2 linked regions of the Nothobranchius furzeri genome follow. The protein of the gene in region 2 purifies or fractionates together with the protein of the main gene of each other region. This does not show direct contact. Links are inferred from orthologs where the notes say so. Each region holds a gene or a part of one and is shown on either strand. Other genes may lie near its edges. The genes, in order: AP-1 complex subunit beta-1 and bmp2k.

What was found.
Region 1: the proteins of bmp2k (region 2) and AP-1 complex subunit beta-1 purify together in Homo sapiens (affinity purification with mass spectrometry; 3 studies listed by BioGRID and IntAct, with this or other methods). This does not show direct contact. The link is inferred for Nothobranchius furzeri from reciprocal best matches to the Homo sapiens genes BMP2K and AP2B1.

Annotation. Positions count from the first base shown.
Region 1 is NC_091750.1:66,898,657-66,910,848, reverse strand, and holds the end of AP-1 complex subunit beta-1, read right to left. Parts: intron 12,167-12,192; coding exon 12,001-12,166; intron 11,911-12,000; coding exon 11,812-11,910; intron 11,704-11,811; coding exon 11,444-11,703; intron 10,942-11,443; coding exon 10,749-10,941; intron 10,304-10,748; coding exon 10,262-10,303; intron 8,095-10,261; coding exon 7,939-8,094; intron 7,862-7,938; coding exon 7,716-7,861; intron 7,624-7,715; coding exon 7,494-7,623; intron 6,665-7,493; coding exon 6,580-6,664; intron 6,407-6,579; coding exon 6,320-6,406; intron 5,893-6,319; coding exon 5,738-5,892; intron 4,754-5,737; coding exon 4,679-4,753; 3' UTR 4,263-4,678; downstream 1-4,262. UniProt on the Homo sapiens protein: Component of the adaptor protein complex 2 (AP-2). Adaptor protein complexes function in protein transport via transport vesicles in different membrane traffic pathways.
Region 2 is NC_091750.1:39,756,690-39,769,119, forward strand, and holds the start of bmp2k (BMP-2-inducible protein kinase), read right to left. Parts: upstream 8,060-12,430; 5' UTR 7,840-8,059; coding exon 7,689-7,839; intron 1-7,688. UniProt on the Homo sapiens protein: May be involved in osteoblast differentiation.

The sequences.
Region 1 (12,192 bases), about 27 Mb from region 2:
TGAACACCACACCCATAGTGAAGAGAGCTCATCAGAGACTCCACTTCCTGAGGGTTTTAAAGAAAACCAAGATGGAAGAAAGGCTGCTGGTGTTATACAGGGATTCAGCTGATCCTTTTTTGATGTATGGCCTTTCAGGGTGGTGCTGGAGTTGTTCTGCAGCGGACAAGAAGCGTCTCCAAAGAGTAGTGACAATGGCAGAAAGATTGTTGGCTGTCAGCGGTCTCCTCTGGAGGACATTGCCAAACCCTGCTTACCTCTGCAGGGTAAAGACAACTTCATCAGACAAGTATCACCTGGATTGCTTATTCATAACTATTGTTTATTACTTCTTTTAGCATAAACCTACAATTTTGTTGTAAGTGTTGGTTATTGATCCAGTCCGTAGCTGGCTGCAGCCAGGTTGGTACTGGCCGGCACCGTCCTGGAGGGACAATCAGCGAGCGCTTCAACTATGACAACTCACTTTAACACAGCATAATAGAAACAATGAGGCAGTGAGTCTATTTTAATTGATTTATAGATGAAAAGCAAATTGAATGGTACAAGTAACACACTGCCCTGGACTTTCTGAATAGCATTAAAAAAAATCTAATAACCCTCTCCAGGGCCCTGCCATCTCAGCAGTCCTGAATGGATGAGAAACCAGAAGACTTCACCACGCCTATGCTATTTAGTTCAATGCAATTCAATTCAAAAATACTTTATTAATCCCAGGGGGAAATTAGCATTTCAGTACACACAATTCTGAGATCAGACACACATACATAGACACATGACAAGAATTGGTGACTGTGGTCATTTGCAACCCGAGTCGCCCTACCGTAATAGATCAAAAGGGTTTATATGAGGATAGAGTCGGGAGAGGGAAAAAAAGGCACTTCAGAGTTACCCTGAACAGAGAGGGTAGCTTTGCTATGCAAAAAAAAAAAAAAACTCCTCAGACAGATATGCGCACAGACTTCAGACATTACACAACATAAGTGTCCACTAGGTGGGGAGGTGGGGTTGGGACTAGAGGTGGGAAAAATGATCGATTCTAAGATGCATCACGATTCGGTCGAGCATGATTCTGCATCGATGCAGCAACGTGACATAATGAGATTTTCTCCCTATGTCTATGTCGATGTTCTGGACGTGCTGGGACAATAAAGTCTTGAGGTTTTACGACTACTTCCGGGGGCGGAGTTGCAATGACATGCGCGCTGTGTTGCCCTAGCGCCAATTTAAAACAGAAATGGCAGACAGGGATACAGGGCGAACATTACCAGTAATCAAAGATGCACCCGTTACATTTAAATGGGATGTCTGAGCTAATTTTGGCTTTTATGAGCGAGACAGAAAGCTTGACAAGACGCACACTGTGTGTAAGGTGTGTCACACAAAACTAAAGTACTTTTGGAACACAACTAATATGACCAAACATTTTGAACGTTTCCACCCTGCGAGGACTTCTTCAACAACAGCCACAAAAACAGCGAGCACATCCCAGCCAACGATTGAAGAAGCGCTGACATTTTTACCGTCTGCTTCGGAGGGAGGGAAGATCACCCATTCTGTTGCATGCTTTATTGCTAAGGATCTACAACCATATTCTGTGGTAGAGCATGCTGGGTTTCACTACCTCCTGAAAACGCTCGAGTCTCTGTATAACCTACCGACAAGAAGACACTTCACAGAAACTGCTGTGCCTGCATTGTACAACGAAACCAAAGCCCAGGTAATGAAATCAATGAGTAAAGCTAGCCGCGTAGCCGTTACATGTGATTCATGGACGTCAACTGCAACGGAGTCGTACGTAACAATAACAGCACATTACATAAGCAACTGCTTTTATTAAGTAATGAAAAATTTTGTGTGAAGAATCGGATTTCAGACTCAAATTGAATCTTTAGGCAGATAATCGGAATCGGATCGAATCGTGAGGCAGGTAGAGATGCACACCACTAGTTGGGACTCTCCTCACTTCAGTGCGTACAGCCGCATGGAGCAGCACTCATGACCGCCGTTTGGACAGGGGAGGGAGATAATGGGTTAGAGGGCACATTGACTCCTAGATACGGTTCCACGGCCTTCACCGGTCACAGTCCCGCCCAGGCTGGGATAGGGAGAAAGAGTTTCCATAGCGACGGCAGCATTCTACATTTCTTCTGAGGGGGGAGTTATCACTTCAGCCTCACAGGCTCCAAGGGCACCAGATTCAGATAAGAATTGTTTTGGGGACAGACAGAGATAATTTCCTCTCTGCCTTAAGAGTTCTGTTGGTCTTCAACCCCTCTAGATCCAGTAATGGCATAATTAATCTATCCCAATCCGTGCTGACCTGTCCACAGCTCTGTCCTTGATGGAATCCACCTTCTGTGCCAGAGCCTGAATCTCAGCCAAAGTTCCAAGCTTACGACTCATCTCGACAATTTTATGAGTTTGTGCATTCCATCCCTGAGCTCCGGGATTGAGCCAATATTCCTCGAATAGGTAACCGCTCAGGCCAAACAGCAGGAATCCCGACACCAAAATGACGAACATCCAGACATCTTCAGAATCCTCCACAGACAGTTGAGAGAGGCAGATCAGGTTCCACTGTTTCCAGGAGTCCATGATATACCCAGCTGGCTCTGTCCCAGAGGGGCATCCGGGAGCCCTTTCTCCCGTTCTCATCGTTGAAAAAATGTTGTCAATCGCGTTGAGAGACCAAATGACCAGATCCATTTTTAATAATTTCCAGTTTCCAGAAAAAATGCAGAAAGCGCCGTGCACAAGACAGGACAAAGAGCCTTGGGATAAGAAGGGAGGGAGAGGAGAAAAAAGTGTCTGTACTCTCCAAGAGCTGGAAGAACAACAGATAGTAAATTATTTGGTGTTTGTGCCTGAAGCAAGTGATTATGGAACAAGATCAAGGATATTCCAGCCTGCTCTGACCACCAGATTGTATTTCAAAAGTCAGATACCTGCAGCAAAGTGACCCAGGTCAATTATATCACAAATAATCCATCATGGGTTTTTTTACAGTGACAAATAAACATACCTACTTTTACATGTAAAATTGCAAACAAAATAAATCACAGCAGACTCCACCCATCCAGGGCCATGAACTATTCACCCTTTCCTTCAGGCTGAGACTCATGACCCCAGACCCTAAAGCTGCATTACCAAATTATCTGAGTAATCTATAGGTTTACTATGAAATGTTTTATGTTAAATGTAAAACCCAGAAATGGTAAAAGGATTAAGCTTTTAGGTGCTTCTATAAAAGAATGAACTTACTCAAGAGTACTTTGTGGAATAGAGGCAAAGCTTTATTTAAATTTCAGAGTGATAGAAGCTTTTCATTAACAACACCACAAACACCATAACTGGACCACACCACAACTCGGGCCTATAGGTGTTAGCGCTACCGCACAATGCCAACATCAGGTTATAACGACACCACATTATTAAAACACAGGTTTGATCCTAAGAGAATTATTGGTCCTGTGAGTTGCATTTTGGCCAATTTCAAAAAGTTTACACTGGCATGAATATTAAAAAAATAAAACATCAGCATTTAGAAGATAAAGGAATCATAACTGAAGCTACTGACACAATCAACATGTGGAGGTAGATGCAAATAAATAGGAATGATAAGTGAATAAAGCCATGAGAAAACAACTACAGTTGCAGTAAACAGGGCGATAAGACAGGGTTTTAAGTAAAATGGAGTGGAATGGGTGTTTCAACACAACAGCTGGCAATCAGTCATATTGGTCACTAGAAGCTGTTTAACTGGGTTCTGCAGATGTTTAGGATTTTCCTTTAGGAATAATCTAATATTTGTCTTTCATTTGCATTTATGTGCTTTTATATGCAATAATGAGTTAAATAACACTTGATGAAAGATGAAAAAAGCTGCAGCTACAACCAGCATGAAGAAGTGATTATTTTTTATGCATGCATCTCCGTTTCAAACGAAACACAAAAAGTAAACACCAAAATCTAAAATTTCACCAGAGTTACTTACAGCTCTTACGTCACTTGTTTTTTAAAAATGTCTGAATGTTTTCATGAATTATTCTTATACCGTTACAGAAAATAAAGGTACTGTTGGCAAATAAATGCAGCACATATTTGGGTAAATCTACTAAACATGCTGTGGGTTTAAATCATGACAGGGAATAAAAAAAACAGCGGTAGCTTCAGTTTGCAGACATCCTCACACAATAATGGCAAAAGGGAACACTGGCGTCTTTGTGGAGGTTCGGCTGAAGTAAAGCCAGTTTAAAAAATAAACTTTTAAAATAAAACAGATCACAAAACAAAGAAAATGGCTTCATTAACTGAAACTGTTTCGACATCACTCACAACATTAAGATACCTAGTTAAGAATGGAATGTTAGCAAGGTTTCACAGAGAAGTAAACACAAATAAGGAGTGTAATCAAAGCGATGGAGACTGTTTTTAACTGCCAGAAAAAGGGATAAAACTGTTTCAACTACAAATCACTTCCAATCAAACTGTATTGACTGATTTTTACCCTACAAGTATCTTGGGGGGTGTACATCAAATATTTTTGATCATTTATTATCTGCTTGGATTTTTTATTTATTTATTTTTTTTTTTTGCTGTGGCAATCAGCTGCAGATAAGAGAAAATGAAGAAACACTGAAGGTTGTTGCCAGGGTGAAGGAGAGTCTCGGTCAGGTCAGTTCTTCAGTATGGAGTCGTACATCTGGTAGACATACTGAGACACCTCAGGGGCCCGACACTTAAGGGACAGCTGTAAAAACAGAACAGGTGCTGTGTTTTATAAAAAAACCTCCACACACGTTTAAAAGGTTTTATTACTGGTAAAAATTATTGGTTTGTTTCTAATTTTATAAAACAAAAGCTGCAATATGGAGTATTCCTAGTTCAGGAATTATGTAAGATTTTTTAGAAATCCGTAAAGGCAATATGTTAGTTTTTGCTAAGCCCACTCCCCCGTCCCGTAGAGCTCCAAGCAATATGAACTGAGCTCCAGTCAGCATTAACCAACAGCCCTGGGCTACCACTTGCGTACAGACACAGAACGTGCTTGTGCGTTTGAGGACCTACTTTGGCTGACGCAGAGTTGGCTACCTTTCTCATGTACAAGTAAGTCTTTAAACTATAAATATATTAATGCACAACATGATATGAGCATAATAATAGCAAAACAATGTTTTCTAGCTGTTTGGTCAGCTTGAGGAGTGCATTTATGAACGAAAAGCGTTGCTTTTGGCCGTGAACAAGGAAGTAAAAACATGAATTAGTGCAATTCATTTGTCAGCCACTAGATGGTGCCATAAAAAAAAGAATAATCCGAAGTTCTCCTTTAAATGATCATAAAGGAAACTATTACTACATTCCAATGATCATATATCTGAGCTGTTTTCTGAATCTGTTCAAAAAGGTTTGTGAATAGCGGGTCTGACCACACAAGTAGACATTTATCTGTTGTAAGAAATTTAATGTTTTTCTTTTAGTAAGATTTACTTTGAGCTCTTTAAAGGGGATTGTTAATTGCAGCATTTAAAAAGCACACTTACTCAATACACACTATGAACACTTAAAATCTACCAGCCTTCAGATGTTTTCTTAAGAGTTTCAGAATCTGTTTTACAAGTGACGAGAGAAGTTTAGCAATATGATCATTTGGGTTAGCATCAACATCCTCAGTGCAGGTGGATTACGAACAAAAATACCCAGAATTCAACACAGCGTGACCTTTTCTACAACCCACCGTGTAATTGGGATTCCCAGGCTGAATGCGGAGCTCAGCCAAGATCCAGATGCCGTTGGTTAGCTTCAGGGACTGGTAGAGCATGTCCTGGCCTTCTACGTTTCTTTTAGCGATGGTGTAGATGTTGTTATTCTGCAGCTTCCCTGATACTGTGTCTGCAAGGCCAGAATCAACACCACTCCATGTTAGGAAAACGCCTCTTTGTATGACACTATGTTACAGGGAGGCAGTAATCGCTACAGCTACCAACGCTAACATGTAGATGAATGATAACAATCCTACTGCTAAAGACGCAGCTACGTCTATGTCAGGGTTTTAATAAACTCTGATTAGAACCTTCAGATTTCAGTAAAGTTTTTCAGCAGTGGCTCAGGGTTGCACAGATCAGCTGCAGGGAAAAATTTAGGGAAAGAATGTGAAGAAAGGTTAGTTACAAGCAAAAAGAAATAGAGGAATCCAAAGAGGCATGTGAGAACACACAAGAAGAGGTCATCTCTTTGATGGAGCTGGTAGAAGATGTGACAAATCAGGCATCAAAACCAGAGACAGCGACCGGGTGGAGGTTCTGAAGAAGTTGCCCACCTGCGTTTAGGTGACATTCTTTTATCTGGTACTGAAGCTCGTTCTCATTGGGGATGTCCTTCCAGGTAGCCAAGAACACCTGTCGCTCTGCAGAATTCGTAAACATAAACATTATTGGAATTTGGTTTTTAACATGACAAAAACTATGAATATAACTGATCTTCACAATTAGGCAATGAGATTCTTGTAATATAAAAAAAGACATTTACTACTAGACTGATATTTATTGTTGCTTCTGAATGTTCTGTTATCTAACATACCCATTTTTCCATCCTCAACGAAGAATATGTTGAGAGGGATGAGAACGCTGAAGTAGAACACGTCAATGTTGTTCTTCACTGCCACCTGTTCACAGAAAGGGCAGAAGCAGGTATTTAGACAGCACCAGACTGTTTTACAGTTTTAATGAAACCATAATAAAAGACAGCAGTGAAGAATCAAAGCTACTCTCTCACTAAACGCTGACATAGAACATATGATCAAAGTTGGCTCACATTTCTGTTACTTCCTGACCGAGGAGAGTTCCAAACACTCGTGATGATCCGGATTATTTTGAGAAATCACATTTCACCAGCAAGCACCATCTTACATTGGGGATCTTCTTAGTCCCTACACCCCCAGCAGGTCCCTGAGGTCCAGTGATCAAAGCCTACTGGTTGTGCAGCACCAGGCTAAAGACCAAAGGTGACAGATCTTTTGCTGCTGTGGCCCCCAGACTCTGGAACTCTCTCCCTTCTGAGCCTGAGATCAGTGGACTCAGTGGTCTCCTTTAAAAAGCAGCTGAAAACTAACCTGTTCAGGCTGGATTTGTGTGACCTGTTAATTCTTCATCACTACCTTCTCATTCAGGTCTTTTTACCAATTCTGCCTTTACTGGTTTCCATGGATGACCTTTCTTGTTATTTGTCGTCTCTTTCCCTTTCCTCACATTTTTTTTTATCTCAAATTTTCTTTCACTTTTCTCATTTTTTTAATCTTTTGTATTTTTTTAAGTACCTCGTGATTTTTATCTTGAGGCTCTCTAAAAGATTGTTTCTTCTTCAAAATTTGTGAGTATTTTCAGAGTCACACAATCATTGGCTCATAAGAGGAGACTGAGAACACTCAAAACGTTTTGAAGCCCTCACAAAAAAAAAAAAAACGCTTACTGCTCAGTTAGCTCTTGGTTCTGTACCTGTAGATTATTGAGAGGATCCATCTTCATTACAGGTCCGATGGTGTTCAGAGGAAGAGAGGCGTCGATACTTTGATTGGGCATCAGCGGAGTGTGAATAGGAAGAGGGCTGGTGGGGATCATCCCAAAACTACAGGAAAGAAATAAACCAAATGAGTGTGTCTCCAGCTGTGAGTTTCTGACTGAAATCAGAGCAGCAGGTAGGATTTTTTTGTCATTAACCTATTCTTGTTGAACTGGATTGCAAAATCATTCATGTGCTGCAGAGCCTTGTTGGTGAAAGACATGTCCATGTACATGTGTCCCTGACGACGAGAGAAGGTTCCGGAGATCTCCAGTCCCTTTGCTTTAGCTGCAGGAAGCCACACCTGTAAAAGCCACCACACAAGTCACCTCTACCATTTAATGAAACGTACACCTCTGGGATTAGGTTGTGTTCACTCACTGCTTTTTGCGGTATGTAGCCTCCGGTGGTGGTGGCCATGCCCGTGGAGAGTTCGAACAGGTCATTGAGGCCGCTGCTGCTGACAGCTGGAGGTGCGGGTGTGGGAGATGGAGCAAACGTACTGGGGACAGATGAAGGGATGAAGTTTTGCCCCACCTAAAAAAAATCACACAAGAACAGAAACAAAAAATAAACACATTTTAATTAGCAATTTTTTGGATGAAGCACCTCTGGCAAGTTTGATTAATAAAAACTGCTAAAAGCTCATTAAACAAATCCCACACAGAACCTTAAAGCAGCAATCTGGAGTTTTCCCTCCTTTCAGGAATTATGTAAGATTTTTTTTTTTTAGAAATCTGTAGAAGTGATATTCTTACTCTGATACAATGTAGGTAATACAATTTTTGGGTAAGCCCTTCCCCCGTCCCATAGAGACCCATGGAATTTGAATTGAGCACTGCTTAGCACTAGCCAATAGCGTGACCCCGGGTTTCCACGGGAGCCGTCAGCAGCACGTTACTGCAGCAGCACGTCTTGCTCGCGTAAACTGCTGCTTGGCCCTTCCCACGAGACGCGAAGCAGCAGGGGAGCAGCTGTCACCGACCGAGCACGAAGTCACACGAGTGACTTTGTCAGTAAACACAACAACAAGCAGGAGAAAACTACAACATGGTTTGTGTTTTATGTTCTGTCCGTTTTATAATCGCCAATACTGACCTGAAAAACAAAGGAGACCGCTAGCTAGGTGATAACTTCTCACGGGGACGCACTGTTAGTAACCTTTTTTAAAAGTAAAGCAACCGGAAAGCAGTACGTTCTTTATTCTGAAAATCTCGGTAGATTCTCTCCATTTCCGTGTCCGATTTCCTGTCTTTCCTTCCCCAAAAATGTCGAACTTGACCCGTTTCAGAGGCGTCACGCGTAGAAAATAGAACCGGCGCGTAAAGGCCGCGACATGCTGCTCCTGAGACGCGGCCGACTCGCGCTGCCGACGGCTCCAGTGGAAAAGGTTCTGTTGACCACAGCAGTTCCTATCAGCAGCTATGACGTGCTGCTGCAGTAACGTGCTGCTGACGGCTCCTGTGGAAAGCCGGGGTGAGACATCCACTTACCTACAGATGTCAATCACAGAGCGTGCGAGAGTGAGAGGATATCCCTAGACAGATGCAGAGTTGGCACTACTTACAGTTAAACAGTATATAGTAAAGTCTACTGGTTGTGCAGCACCAGGCTAAAGACCAAAGGTGACAGATCATCTGCTGCTGTGGCCCCCAGACTCTGGAACTCTCTCCCCCTGAGCCTGAGATCAGTGGACTCAGTGGTCTCCTTTAAAAAGCAGCTGAAGACTCACTTGTTCAAGCTGGCATTTGTATAACCTTCTTCACCACTCTCTCTTTATTCTGCTCTCCCCACCTATTCCACCTTCCTCAGGATCCACTGATTTCCCTCTTTCCTGTTCACTCTCTCTCTCTCTCTTTCTTTACATTTTTTTAATCACAATTGCCTATTTTTGCTCATTTTAATATATTTTAAACAATTTCTAAATGCTTATTTATATTTTTACATTTTTTGTTTTTGTGAAGCGCCTCGTGATTTTTATCTTGAGAGGCGCTATAGAAATGGTATTTTCTTCTTCTTCTACTTCTTCTATATATTCTGCCTCTAGATGGTGCACTATGAGGAAAAGCTCCAGATTTCTGCTTTAATGCTCAGAAGGAAGGAGGAATGTTATTATGAGAAGCTAATGCTACTTAGAACAAAAACCAGGCAGGTAACAAAGAACGGTGTGTGTGTGTGTGTGTGTGTGTGTTTTAGCCCATTTCCTGCAGAACTATTGGCACCCGAGGCTAAATCACTAGAGCTCATTAAATTAGATTTTCAGAAAAGTTCAATTATTAATATATTGTGGATTAAAACAAAAATTATAAACAAAACAGAACATGATTAAGATAACCCAGCTATTCATACACATGGAAGCAGCTAAATCAAAAGGCTTAAAGTCGGGAAGGAACCGCTCAGCTCCTGTTGCTGTTTTTTATGTTTTATGTAACAATTACATGAATTTCTGAAACCAAATATGCTTTTTTTTTTTTTTTTTTTTAATAAAATTTTGTCCACGAACTAGACTAGAACATTAATTAGATGGATTCTCCTGTAATGGGTTAATTCATTTTCATTACCAGTAAATGGGCTGAAACATTACAAGCATGCATGTAAGTGTGTCATCCACAAAAAGCTGAAGGTGTCAGCTTAAGAGTGTGATGATGACTATATTCAGGACGCGTGCAGCATGCAGACGGTCAAACAGAAGGTCTCCACTTACTGCTGGACTTCCCCCAACACCTCCGCCCAGGTCTCCTCCCAGCTACAGCCCCCCAAACATCGCAGACACACCGAACACACAAACAAAAACAGAGAGAGACTTTCTTAGCGACCAATCAAAAGGAACCTCTCACTGCGTTCTGGGAAAATACTAAATCTCTGATGCATCTATAAAAAATACTCTGGAAGACATTTAGATTGCAGCCTGAAACAAGCTGGTGTGAGAAGAAATTTCTGAATATTATTAAATTATAATTATCTACAGTAGATATTAACTCATATATAAGAAGTGTTACACCAGATATTTTTATTTTAAAACTGAAGGACTAAGCAGTAATAACTACTACTAGTGTTTCCTCCTCCAGCGGACAGTGTGTGTTCATTACTGTATTTCTAACAAAACCAGGCTGTTGCTGATGTGTCATTTGAATTTGAAAAGACAAATGTCTAATTATCTGGATTCACTGTAAAAATCAGCATGAGCTCACCAGACTATCCAGGCCTCCACCCAGAAGATCCACCGCACCCATCTGCATGGAGGACACTTGGGGAACATTGACTGGAGGGCCCAGGTCCAGGTTCAGCAGGTCACCCAGTAAGTCTCCCTGACTGGGGATCACGTGTGGCTGATCCATGGCAGTGGCCGGCCCACCGCTCACGGGGCTCTCACCTGTGTCGATGCTGTTAACAGGAGAAAGGAGCAGACAGACAACCTAAAATCACTTATTTACGATAAGATTCAAAACTAAAACTCCAACTTCCTACAGTCAAAGTAGGACATAATTCACATATAATGGCCAATACAACAACAAAGTACTGTGGCTCTAAGCAAATGCTGTGAAAAGAACTTTTTCTTTAAGTTTTTATTGGAAACCTGGATTTCCTGTTCTGCAGATCAATTAGTGAAGCAGATGTAATATTAATACGGACTGAAGAGCTCCTGCGTTTAGATTGCTCCTTGAATTAAAAAAGCAGGGACCAACATGTTGAAAGTTCTCCAGAGATGTCATAATATTTTTGAATCCTTAAGTACATAAACCGTTTTAAGGTGTGGAGGCAGAGATGTCCAGAAAACTGGATCAGTGTTTTTAAAGCTCCCTCATCGTTGAACAAAGTTAAAATGCTTTCTGGTGAATAATACGAGGCGCATGGATGTGTGATGTATATGCTCAGTGTGTCCTACCTGCTGTGCTGGACAGGAAGGTGTTTGCGGTGGACACCGTGGCTTCCCTCCACAAAGGCACTGGGTGGTTTGTGATAGACGGAGGCCAGCGAGCCGATGTGGCAGATCAGCTCATCCAACAAGGTGGGCTCGATCAAGTCAGTCTCCTCGGAGATCAGAGGCTTTTCTGACAGCACCACCTCTTTGGCTGTCACAGGGTCAGTAGAGAGCAGGCGCCAATAAATATAACCCCTGTCACGGAGGTCGGGGTTGTCGGAGTCCTGCGGAGGAATGAAACCAGGATCAACAGTTGGTGAAACTTTTTCTGCAGAAGTGGCATAATGTGTGAGGAGTTCTTCTAAAGCTTCAGGACTAAAGTTGATGCTCACCTGAGTGGCCAAACTGAGGACCTGCTGCACCAGCTCCTGAGTCTCTGATGGCTTCTTAAGGAACAGTTTGACGATGGCGGTCAGCAGAGTGAGCTGCACCTGCGAACCAAAGCAAACACGTTCAGAGGAAAGAGCTCTATGACCCATTTTTTATCTCAGCTTTCCTACAACTGACAAAAGCCAACTCACCTGGGTGCTCTCATCATGGAAGCCCTCAAGGAAACTCTCCAGCAGCTCATCAGCATTGTCGATCCTCTCTGCGTACTCGCCCACGATCCAGATCATAGCACCTCGTGCGTCGGGCTCATCCAGGGAGTCCAGATTCTCACACAGTGTGGCGATGATGCTCTCATACCTAAAGAGCATCAGAGTCTCGATGGT
Region 2 (12,430 bases):
GGTCATCAACTCTCTTCCCTGAGGGCGGGTATCCAGCATGTTTTTGTTGTTTTCCTGCTTCAACACATCTGATTTTTACCAGCAGGTGACTAACAGGTTCCTGCAGAGCTTGATGAGCTGAATAGGTGATTTAAGTGAGCTGGAGCAGGGAAACAACTAAAACATTCTGGATTACCTGCCCTCGGGAAGGGAGTTGATAATCCTTGCTATAGAGGTCTGCTGAGGCTAAAACAAGGACATTAAATGTTATTCATGTAAAATCTGACTCAAAATCAAAAGTGAAGTCCTTCAGAAGTTAAATAAGACACAATTATGGCTGTAAAATTTGAATAAATGAGGGAATTCCCATTAAAAAGTCCTGAACTATTCATTTAAACCCAATTAGAACAGTTAATCATAGTAGTGGGTTTAAATACGCCCACCATGAGGAAAAGCTACTCTGAGCAGGACTCTTACAGCAGACCACTGCAGCATTATTAAATCTGTTTGGCATTTATAACGCTGCTTACAAATCTCATGTTTCAGGGCCACAAACACAGATGTCCTTCTGCGCTCATCTGATGATGAGTCCCACCTGTGCTAGCCAGGCGCTTGCGTCCTTTCTCAGTCGTTCACATACAGAAACACCCTCAACTAACCATCTTTGGTCACGCTACATCCTCAGCACGCGAGTTCCCAGACCGAGGCAGGAACGCATCAGCTGACAGCACATGAACTGTATTTACGTTGGTCCAGGTCAGGGAGACCCTGATTCTGGACTGGATGCACGTCTCCGGTCTGTAACGGAACAGAGACTCGTGAACACACTTGTGAGGCCCCACCCCCCACCCACCAGGTCAAGTCAACGTGCAGGTGAAAGTAGCTAACAAGGCCTAACCTCGTGAAACTGCAAACACAGGAAGCGGAACGGCCGATCAGGTCTTCCTGTTTTTATAGAGTCAGAGACTCGTATTTGACTTGTCCCTGCAGGTGGAAGTGGGTAGTTATCAGGCATCTGTCGCATCGGGGGGCTGCTGTAGCACGGGCAGTTATCCAAGCAACACTCAGCAAATATCGTCATTAAATTATCCAACAGCTGTTTGGGGAGACTGGAGGGTTTTCTCTTCTTTACACCAACAGAACTTTACTATGCAGTAGCGACCCTTCCTGGACTTCAGAAGGAAGGCTGGTGGAGCAAGCAGATGCTTCCTGCTTTACAGCTTCAGACAGACAGCCAAGAGGAACCAGAGGGAAATGACAAAGTTCCTCCTCAGCAAGAATCGTCCAGCTCCACAGACGCGTCACCCAGAAACAAAACCATCACCCACGGTTGCTTCATGACGATCACATGCTCTTTATCAAACTGCAACAGCAGCTGGATGAGCAGAAGAGGCTTAAACATCTGCATCATGAACAACAGCATCAAGTTTCCTCAGAGCTGCCACAGCCGAACCTCACCAGCACACGCACAGGAAACAGTTTCACTCTGAGGCTAGAGGTTCTGGTCCGACTGCAGAAGTTTAGAGCTCTGCTGACTCAGCAGCTGCTTCCAGAACTTTAGTTTTGCTGTTAAAGGAGCCATGAAGATAAAATATACCCTTCCAGACACTTAAGGTCACACAATCAGTTTGTGACAAAAAGCTAAAGTTCAGGTCAAGAACCTTTTAAAGCTGAAATCCTGATTTGTGCCTCCTGGATTGCTGTAAATTTGATATAAAGATGGCTGACAGATGAAGTAATTCCATTAAATCTAACTTAAGATGAATATCTGCTTTAAAGCCTGGGCCCTCGTTGATCAAATGTTTTTAGAAACTGTCCTGTACGCCTGTATTCGTCAAAAACCTGGTCGTACGCGCGCTCCTCCACTCGTCTGATGATAAATCAAACCTGTGCGTACCCAGGTGCTCGTGTCTGTTCTGTCATTCACACACAGAAACACCCTCAAACATCTTTGGTCACGCTACGTCCTCAGCAAGTGAAATTCTAGGAAATTCCCAGGGGAATACTTTTTTAAAAACTTTATTGACTGTGAGATCGAGATACTGCCTGCTTAATTCAATTTTCAATTCAATTCAAGTTTATTTATATAGCGCCAAATCACGACAAGAGTCGTCTCAAGGCAATTCACATAATAAACATTCCAATTCACAGTTCATTAAGCCATTCAGAAATAATGTTTCCTATATAAGGAACCCAGCAAATTGAGCTTTGGGTGTGACCGAAAGAACGAGATTGCGGATACAAGCGGCCGAAATGAGTTTTCTCCGAAGAGTGGCTGGACTCTCTTAGAGATGGGGTGAGAAGCTCGGTCATCCGGGAGGGGTTCGGAGTAGACCCGCTGCTCCTCCACATCAATAGGAGCCAGTTGAGGTGGCTCGGGCATCTTGTCAGGATGTGTCCTTGACGCCTCCCTGGTGAGGTTTTTCTGGGCACGTCCAACCGGGAGGAGACCTAAAAGTAGACCCAGGACACGGTGGAGGGACTATGTCTCTCACCTGGCCAGGGAACGCCTTGGGATTCCCCCGGAGGAGCTGGCCCAATAGGCTGGGGAGAGGGAAGTCTGGGCCTCTCGCCTTAGGCTACTACGCCAGGGGGAGGAGATCCTTCGGTGACGCCATATATGCGTTGTACATGATTTGTAGTCATGCTAACAGCAAACTTTTACAAGCTGATAAATCTTAAATCATGTGACTGGCGTGGTCAAAACACCCATCATTACTTTTCATTTAAATATAAATACAATATATGTGTGATCAAGGGCGGGAGGCAAGGCGGATTAGAAAATAACTCTTTCAGCCCCGTTGACTAGAATTCATTTTTTTCGTTCTTCCGGTGACCCATGAGCCGACCGGAAAGGGCTGAGACTTAGGCTCCCTATTGAGCCTTTTATAACAAGAGTCTGACATTTCAGCCACACAATTTTGTTGTTTTATTTCATATTTTAGCAGCAGACCACGGTCTCGTTTCATTACCGGCGCGTTCGGAGTTTGTGGCTCGCTAAAATTAATAACATTTCTCTGTACTCCGATATCTCTGAGTTATTGCAGCACACAAGCAAGCTGAAACACACATTTCTGTTGTTCCACCTAGCTTTTAGGGAACCATTTGAGTTTGCACGCAGTTTATTTGGTGTTGAACGAGTTGCTCGTCCAGTTAGCTTAGCCTCAGCAGGGCTATGGCTACTTCTGTCTCTGCTTCTGTCTCCTATCTCTTGCTCTCTGTGTCAGATGTTTAGTTACTCCTCAGTCTCCTTTAGTGATAATGGTACGTGTAATAAATGTGGCATTTTTGTAGTTTTGGAGGCGCAGGTGTCGGAATTGGAGGCCTGGCAATGCGCTGTTGAAAAGCCCGTAGATAGCTGTAGGTACTTAGCTAGCGCGGGGCTAAGTAGCTCTGCACCCACTGACAAGCAGACAGTGATCATTGGCAGCTACATAGTCAGAAAAGTGGTATTAGAGACTCCAGCATTAGAGACTCCACAAACCATAGTTAAATGTGTTTAACTGGAGCCAGAGCGGGCAACATTAAATCTTACCTTAAACTGCTGGCTAAGGATAAGCATAAATACAGTAAGATTGTTATTCACGCTGACTGTAACGACACCCGGTTACACCAATCACAGGTCACGAATATTAATGTTGCTTTGGTGTGTAAGTTTGCCAAAACAATGTTGGACTCAGTCATTTTCTCAAGCCCCATGCCTGATCGGACCTGTGACGACATGTTTAGCCGCATGCTGTCCTTCAACCACTGGTTGTCTAGGTGGTGTCCTGAAAACAACGTGAGCTACATTGATAATTGGAAAACTTTTTGGGGAAAACCTGGTCTGATGCGGAGACGGCATCCATTCCTCTTTGGATTGAGCAGCTCTTCTTTCTAGGAACATGGCCAGTTTTATTAGTCCTCCATGACTACCCTGGGTCCAGACCAGGAAGCAGAGTCGTAGTTTAACACACCCAGCTGCAGCTTCTGAACAGTTACCCACCCACTAACCCATTGAGACAGTGTCCTGCCCACGGCCAAGACCACACAGATTTAATATCAGGCTTAATAAAGCAAATCATGGAAATCTCATAAATATTAGAACAAATTCAACTGAGCAGAAAACTAGAAAAATTAAATGTGGGTTGTTGAACATTAGATCTATTTCTTCTAGGACGTTGTTAGTTAATGACTTGAATTGTGATAATCAGATTTCTATAATCTCTCTCACAGAATCCTGGCTGCAGCAAGAGGACTATGTTAGCTTAAATAAGTCGACTACTTCAAATTATTTAAATCATCATATTGCTCCAAGTACAAGGCGAGGAGGAGGAGTAGCAACCATTTTTCATTCAGACTTATTAAACAATCCCTTACCAATTAATAGTTACAGTTCTTTTGAACATCTTATTCTTAAATTTCTTAATCCAGATTAGGGCTGAAACGATTCCTCGAGTACCTTGAATAATTCGAGTACAAAAAGCTCCAAGTCAAAATCTCTGCCTCGGAGGCTTCGTTTCATTCATGTTTGATTAATTCATGTTTGATTACTTCATGCCTTTGCAATCGCCCAGGGTCATGTTTCACCTGGACCAAAATAAGTGACGCACATACACACTGCACTGAATGCACACGTGAGTTGCAAATGTAACTTAACCTTCTCTTAAACCATGGAGGACAACGTGGACCCCGGTGGAGTGCGAAAAAGACAGAAAATGTCAAAGGTGTGGGACCAAGGCGGAAAACGTAGTCCAGTGTAAATACTGTAAAATGGATTTAGCCTACCACAACACCACATCCTCGACACTGCAGCACCTGACATCCACATGTAAATGTCACTTCTGCAAGCGGACTCGGAGCCTCTACAAGATAATGCATTTTAGCCAGTATTTCTATATATTCTGCGGACACTGTGCAACTTTTTCATTTGTAGCACTCAAGTTTCAGCTCACACTGTGCATTTGGTAGCAACACGTCGGACTTAAAATGTGCTAAAAATGGTAGTTTTTACACAACACGTCGGACCTTTTACTGTGTTATTGATGTCTGTTGTCCCTCGGGTTTGCTGCAGGAGGACACCGGTGTTTATGAGTGACGGAGGAAAACAAAAGAAAGGAAATAAATGTTTTGTGATCAGTATAATTTGACATAACCACAGCAAACATGCTTTTTCGACAATCCTTGTTATTGTGAGAAGAAAGTGTAGAAATTAAAATGAACGTGTGTCAATAGGGAAACAGCTGGTGAGCCATGTTTGTGCATGAGCTGTGAGCGGTTCTGGTGCTGTTTGGGCCGCAGCCGCTCGCATTTGTTTACTGTGAAGTAAAGCTGAAGTGCTTAAGTTTTGAAAACTAATTTTGAATAAAACTTGGAAGAATAACTGGCAATTGCTTGCTCTTTTAAGAGGTATTTCATATTTTATAACATGCTATTTGATATAATGGTTTACAAACAAAAAAAGACAAATTTATTAGAGTACTCGATTAATTGATAAAAGATTCGAAAGAGTACTCGATTACAAAAATATTTGATAGCTGCAGCCCTAATCCAGATTGAAAAACTGTAAAACCACTCGTTTGTAGTTTTGTATCGTCCACTCTGAGTTTTTGGATCAAATCTCAGATTTTTTATCTGATTTGGTGCTAAATACTGGTAAGGTCATTGTAGTGGGGGATGTTAACATTCATATGGACATTGAAAATGACAGCCTTAATGTAGTCTTTAGTAATATCTTGGATCCTCTGGAGCAGAGGTCCCCAACCCCCGGGTCACAGACCGGTAACGTCACCTGTTCGAGCAGCTTTGTGAGGAAATGGACGCAGAGCACAGACACCTTCTTTTATACACAGAAATAAGATGGTTATTCCGAGGGAGATCGCTGACCAGTGTTTGAATAACGAGAGCCGCTGCAGAAATTTCTCTCAGAAAAAAGTCACCGCTAGCAGTGCATTTCAGTGATGAGCAATGGGTTGCAAAATTTGCTTACTTGTGCGACATATTCAGCTCTCTCAATTAACTAAATCTATCACTTCAAGGGAAAATGACAACCGTCTTCAAGTTGGCAGATAAAGTAGCTGTGTTTAAAGCAAAACTGGATCTGTGAGGACGGCGAGTGAACAGGGGGATATTTTATGTGTTTCCAACATTATCAGGACTATTGCAAGAGACTGAGCCTGAGCAGTCATGCTCCCAGCTGATGCAGGATCACCTGTCTGTGCTTTTAAAAGAGTTTGATCGCTACTTTCCAACCACAAAAGACCCACGCATGACCAAGGAATGGGTTTGTGACCCGTTTGTCAACAAACCAGATGAATCAAGCCTCTCTGTGCAAGAAGATGATCAATTGCTGGAGGTCACATATGATGGCAGACTGAAAAGAATGTTTGAGACAACAGCTCTGCCAGTTTTTTGGATTAAAGTCATGGCGGAATACCCTGAAATCGCCACAACAGCATTGAAAACCTGTTACCATTTCCAACATCCTACCTGTGTGAAACAGGGTTTTCTGCAATGACAGCAACTAAAACCAAATTACGGAATAAACTGGACATAAGCAACACACTTCGGGTTTCACTATCTCCCATTACTCCTAGATGGGACCGTCTCGTCACACAGAAACAAGCTCAAGGCTCCCATTGACGCAGCCTTGGTGAGTTGTACTTTTCAATCACTTTATAATTGTTTTGGTGAATCTTACCTTGAAAGCATGTTTTTAAATTGCCATATAAACCAAGGCCATTAGGGAGAGTGGAAATGCAATGTTGGTTAAAACTTAACTGGTTAAAACTTATAACCGTTAAGTAGATGGCAGTGTGTGTTCATGCTGATGAGGTTACAAGTGCACACTGGATTCATTGTTGCATTTAAAAAAAACAGTCTTTATGCTGGTCATATGATATTAAATTCTTGTATTTATCTGCTACATGTTTAAGACTGGTCCGTGAAAATATTGCCTGATGCGAAACCGGTCCCTGGTGCAAAAAAGGTTGGGGACCACTGCTTCTTCCTGTTGCATGCTTGCCTAGTTTGGGGATTGATGTAAAGTTTCTGACACAACAGTGACTCAATGCAATCTGCTGGGTTTCCTTCTATAGAAAACGTGACTAACTGGCATAATGAACTGAACTCAATTGCGATGTTTACTTAGTGAATTGCCTTGAGATGACTCTTGGCATGATTTGAGAGAATGCTGATGTGTCCTTGAGCAAGATACTTAACCTGCTGGTGGAGGGTGTAGCTACCAGTGGCGCCAGTGTTCGGCAGGCCTCGCCTCCATCAGTGCACCCTAGGACAGTTGACTACATTGTAGCTCATCGCCATCAGCGTGTGAATGGGTGAATGATTGTGTTGTGAAGCGCCTTGGGAGGTTGTAGGAACCTATAAAGGCGCTATACAAATACAGGCTATTTATCTTTATATCATTTAACACTAGATAAAGAGAATTACACGAGTGTGAGAAATGTGTGTGTATGGGTGTGTTTTCAGGAGCGAGTCGGACCGGTGTCTTGACAGCACTTTGGCCCGGTAGGGGCGGGACTGGTCCTACCGCCGCCAGCGGAGAAGCTGAAGCAGGATGTAAACCAGCTGTGGGAGGAAGCCACTTAACAGGGACGTCATTCTGGGATAAACGCAGTTGTTGGGAACACTGGGCCTCTTACTGGGAGCTTTACACTAGTTAAGATACATAGACCAGAAAAGACAAGTGTGACCCAGAAAGCAGCACAAACCTTCTGCTATGAGCTCCTCCACGGTGACCTGATACCGACCGACCGCGAACACCTTCCCGTAGTAACTGCTGACTCCCGAACTGGAGCTGGCACCGGACGCCCCTCCAAGTCCACCACTTTCGGACTTTGGCATTCTAGAAAACTTCTTCATCCTTCCGTCTTTCCAGACCCTTCTCAACAAGCCTGGTCGCTGGCAGAAGCACCACCCAGTAATAAGCTGCTTGTGTCCGACGCGCCCTATCTACTTATCTGGAGTCTTTTCTTCTCCTGCATGCTCCGCGCCCAGTTCTTCTATTGGAACTCCTTGCTGTTGAATAACACCACATTTAAGTATAAGTAGTATTATGAATCCGTCATCGTAGGTTGGTGCCCCGCTTCTCTTGACAGCACCAACTCGCTTCAAATAGCCAAAGCAGGGCTCGTTAGCTGGCTGCAGGCGTTAGCAGGCATGTAGTCGGCGGTGTGCGGTCAGGACGCTCCTCCAAAAGGAAGACCCGGGCAACGGTGTGACTGGCGCCGATGCGACCAACACTTTCTCCGGTACAAACGACACCCTCCCGGGTAAATATCCGACCTTTGGGTCCACTAACGTAACCTCGGGGTCGTTCGCTTCACTTCACTCACGGACAGTTAGCTCGTTAGCCGCTGCGCTAACAAGCTCAGTTCCTCCTCGGATGCGCCGCCCCGATCGTAGGCGGACGGTAAAAATGAAAAAAGTAGGAACTGCTGATGCCAGTAAGATTCTCCTGCTTTACCGGAACTAACTGGTCACTTCTGTTTCATTTCACTAACTCCTCTCATCGTCTTTTTATTTCAGCTTCGCCAACGTCGAACTTCTGATTCTTCTAACGCAAGAAATCAGTGGGAAGCTTGTTATTTACCCAATGAGAGTGACAACCAAACATGGCGTGGCTCCGCCCACTCATACTAGTGTGATTGGAGTAAGCGGAAACGTATGGAAGCCAAATAACATCAAGAATAATAGATGAGCACTGGGTTTCACTCAGCAGGAAGTGTTTGGCTCCACTATAAAACAGCACAGTGCATGAAAGCAGATATAGCATTAACCCTTTATAGAGCTAAAGTCTATATTTAGACACTTCCACTGACATCATGAAAGATTCCATTTTTGGTTCTTTTTTAAAACACAGGAAAGGTTAGGAAAAGAACCAAAAATGGAATTAGAAGCCAAAAACAGAAAGAAAGTACCAAAGATCATAAATGATGTTGGTGTGCCTTTTCGCGAGCTATTAAGTTTACGGGATTTCACCCAAACAATCATCAGAGATTAAGATAGTCACAGTTTGCCCCATGGCAGCATTCCACCAGTCAGTGCAGGGCAATAACACGCCAAATACTGGTGTGTCTGCAGAGCCGGGAAACTCCTCGGTCTCCTCTACAAGATGTGGAAGAAACAAAAAATCCACAAATTTTCATTAAAAACACAATTAATAATGGAAATAATGGGTGTATTCTAATACAACAGTTCTGGGGTAACTAAGTTATTAAATTTAAAGTTGTTGATTTATTTTCTGTAGTCTGTCACTTAGTGAGCAGCTGTGATCAGCAGCAACATCTACAGATGATCAGACCTGCTGTATCAAGAGCCACAACCTGGTGAAACACTAGAAACTAGGATGAACATTGGTCACAATTACTACCTAAAACTAACTTCAGGGTACTTTCATTTTGCTTTTCACGGTTTTGATGGAGATGTTTCACAAACCAAAACTTTTGGGACACTTTTCTCTTAAATCATTCTAAGACGTTAACATTAATCTGCTGCTATGTTAACCCTCTGGAGTCCAGGGGTAATTTGCCGTTTTTGACCAATTTAGAGTTTTCCTTTGTATTTCCAAAATAAAAACCATAACCACTGCCTTAAGTGGCATCAGTCTTTTCAGCACAACCTGGACTTTATGAATTTATACTTATTTTTTATATTTGGACATTAAGGGGTTGCATATCAGACCTTAAATCACTCAAAAACATAAAATCCGAATAGGAAAAAAGTTGTTTATTTTATTGTGATCCAACAAACATTTATGACAAATGTTTTTTATAATTTAGAATGGAACTATGGTATCCTGGACTATCTGAATTTATAATTATTTTATTAATTTGGCAATAATGTACATGCATTTTGGAGTAGGGAGTGGCTCTGTCTCACGCCGCGGACATCGAGATCTGACAGCTGCGCTGCGCCGCCCACTCCTCTTGTTGGATCTCCGAGGTGCTGGATCTCTGCCTTCATCCTCTACCTCATCATGACCCAACTCTTCTATGAGGAAGGATGGATCTGCCACATCGTCATCAACATCCTCGCTATTTGCCTCAGACTCCGGCTGTGAGTCTCCGTCCACTTCCTCTGCTTCCAGTTCAAAAAAACAGCCGTACTATCTGAACTGACTAGTGGACATTTATCCTTCTCATCATCCTTTATATAAGCCTAATAAAAGCTTACTAAACTGCAGAGACAATATATCTGTCCGGATCGCTCCACAGTATGAAGTTTACCGTCAATATCTGTCTAACTGTTGTTACTCCGTTCGCGCCATTCCTTTCCCCGCCAAACGGCTCCCTTTTGCGCACATCTCATTACTCGTGCGGCCTTCCTCTCTCTCTCAGCTACATGATGATACTTTTTATCAATTGAATATGTGAGACTTCCACCAACAGCAAAAGGATCTTATATTTTTGTGGGGGGTTTTATGTTCACAAGCACATTCCCTCTCACGGATTACTAAACTGCTGTTTTGACAAGTTATCAGATTGCCTAAAAATAGGTTGTTTTTTAGTTTAGTATAACTCCGCTTTTACGTTGCCTATTAAAGAAATGTAAAAACTGGGGTGTAGTTTATAATCTCCTTTATAAAGCTGAATAGAAATCTAAACTCAGGGAGGCGGAGTCTTGCTGCAACTACATCCCAAATCAGACCTGTTCAAAAGACGCGTATACTCGTCCATGGACCCCAGAGGGTTAAGTAGATTCATAGTAGATGCCTGGAGAAAATATCCAGTCTGCCTAGTAACAGATAAAACCACTACCTATGAGGTTTTAAGGATTTAAGATTTCTTAAACTTAATTCCTACTTCTGCAATTGTTCATATAAAATTAAATAAATTAGTAACAAACAGATGTTGACACCTTTAATTTCAATGATAACTTGTAGGAATATTATTTGGACTAGGATCAATTATACTGTTGTTATCTAAAACAGGATTTAGGCTACAGAAGGTGTGATTGTTGATTAAAAGTTTAATGGCCGATCACACAGACGGGTCATGCTTCTGCTTGCAGACTGATGCCATGAATAACGAGGTGCTTCATTAAATTGCTGGTATTTCCATATTTAGAGACAAAATTTAGCTCCGTTTCCTTTTACTTTGGCAAAATGCAGCAAAAGCTTTTTTTTTTCAGCATTTTTTAAGTCCACCACCTCGGAGAAGTTTTGTAAGATCCAGTCAGGTGTCGTGCTGCAGCGGGAGGAATGGAGCTGCAGCTCCTTAACAGGGATATTTTACTGGGAAAGTACAGAAATTTAGCCCAGAAAAATATGTTTAGTACTATTAGAACGAGTGGTGGTGTGGTGGTAAACGTAGAGCTTCAGCAGCACACCGCTGTGTCACTCTATCCTGCTCCCGCTCAGCTCTGGGAGCAGCGGCAAACAGCCCCACCCGGCTGGAAAAGCTTGAATGGGACATACCAATTCGAGGAATAGGAGAGGGTGATCATAATCTTTGAATGATTACTAACACATTGTTTAGATTTGGATCGAATGTGATCTGGGACACAACTTTATGCCGTCCCCCCAGGATTTCCGTTTATGATCGTGGGCCTCGGTGAAAAAAAATAGTGAAATTTCTGTTTGCTTCACAGCCAGACAGGACAAGAAAAAATAAATAAATAGCGACTTTCGAGCCCCGGACAGAGCCACACCCCATATACACTAGATATTTGCATCGATCTCATGGGGTGCCCCAAATCGCAACAAAATTCCATAAATCCGGTAAAAACCGGAGAATCCACATCCCTGAGTTATGCTGCTATAGGCTTAAGTTTGGTTTATGCTTGACGCATTCACTTTCCGCTTGGTGATGCGGCTCGCGGCTGGAACGCGCTTCACAACTTGCGGCGATTATGGTTCATGCGGCTTGTCTCTGCGGTGAGCCAATATTCTCCCAAACTGAACGGGGCAGCATGGAGCTCTACGGCATGCATCCAACACTACACCATAGTAGAAGTAGAAATTACTGTTTACAACATGGCATTTCAGCAGTTTTTAACAGCGTCCTCATCTTTTCCGACAGTGCGAGCTATTTCTCTCCAAGAATTATTAACAACATGTTGATCACGGTGATCTCTGAGAGCTGAATCATACAAATGTCTGTATTTACGAACCTCTGCCATACTAGTTCTTGCCGGTCCGCCATGTTTTTCCGCGTCCGACCGTCCACATGGTTAGAAAATTTCCTAGGTGCGCGTTGCGGAAATTTTGGGCCATGCGGAGGCACGGTGGAGGGGCATGGTTGTTAAAATGACGCAAAAATGACGCAACTTTTCCGCGCGGAGCCGTGTGGACCTCGCGGACACGTCAAGCGTAAACCAACCTTAAACCGGAGCTTAGACTGCTGGAGGACACACTGACCACTTTCCACACTCGACTACTTTCTTCTACAATCTGCTCTTTAACTGTACTATTTCCTGCTATTTCAGCTGTTAACTTTATTTTTTCTCTAAG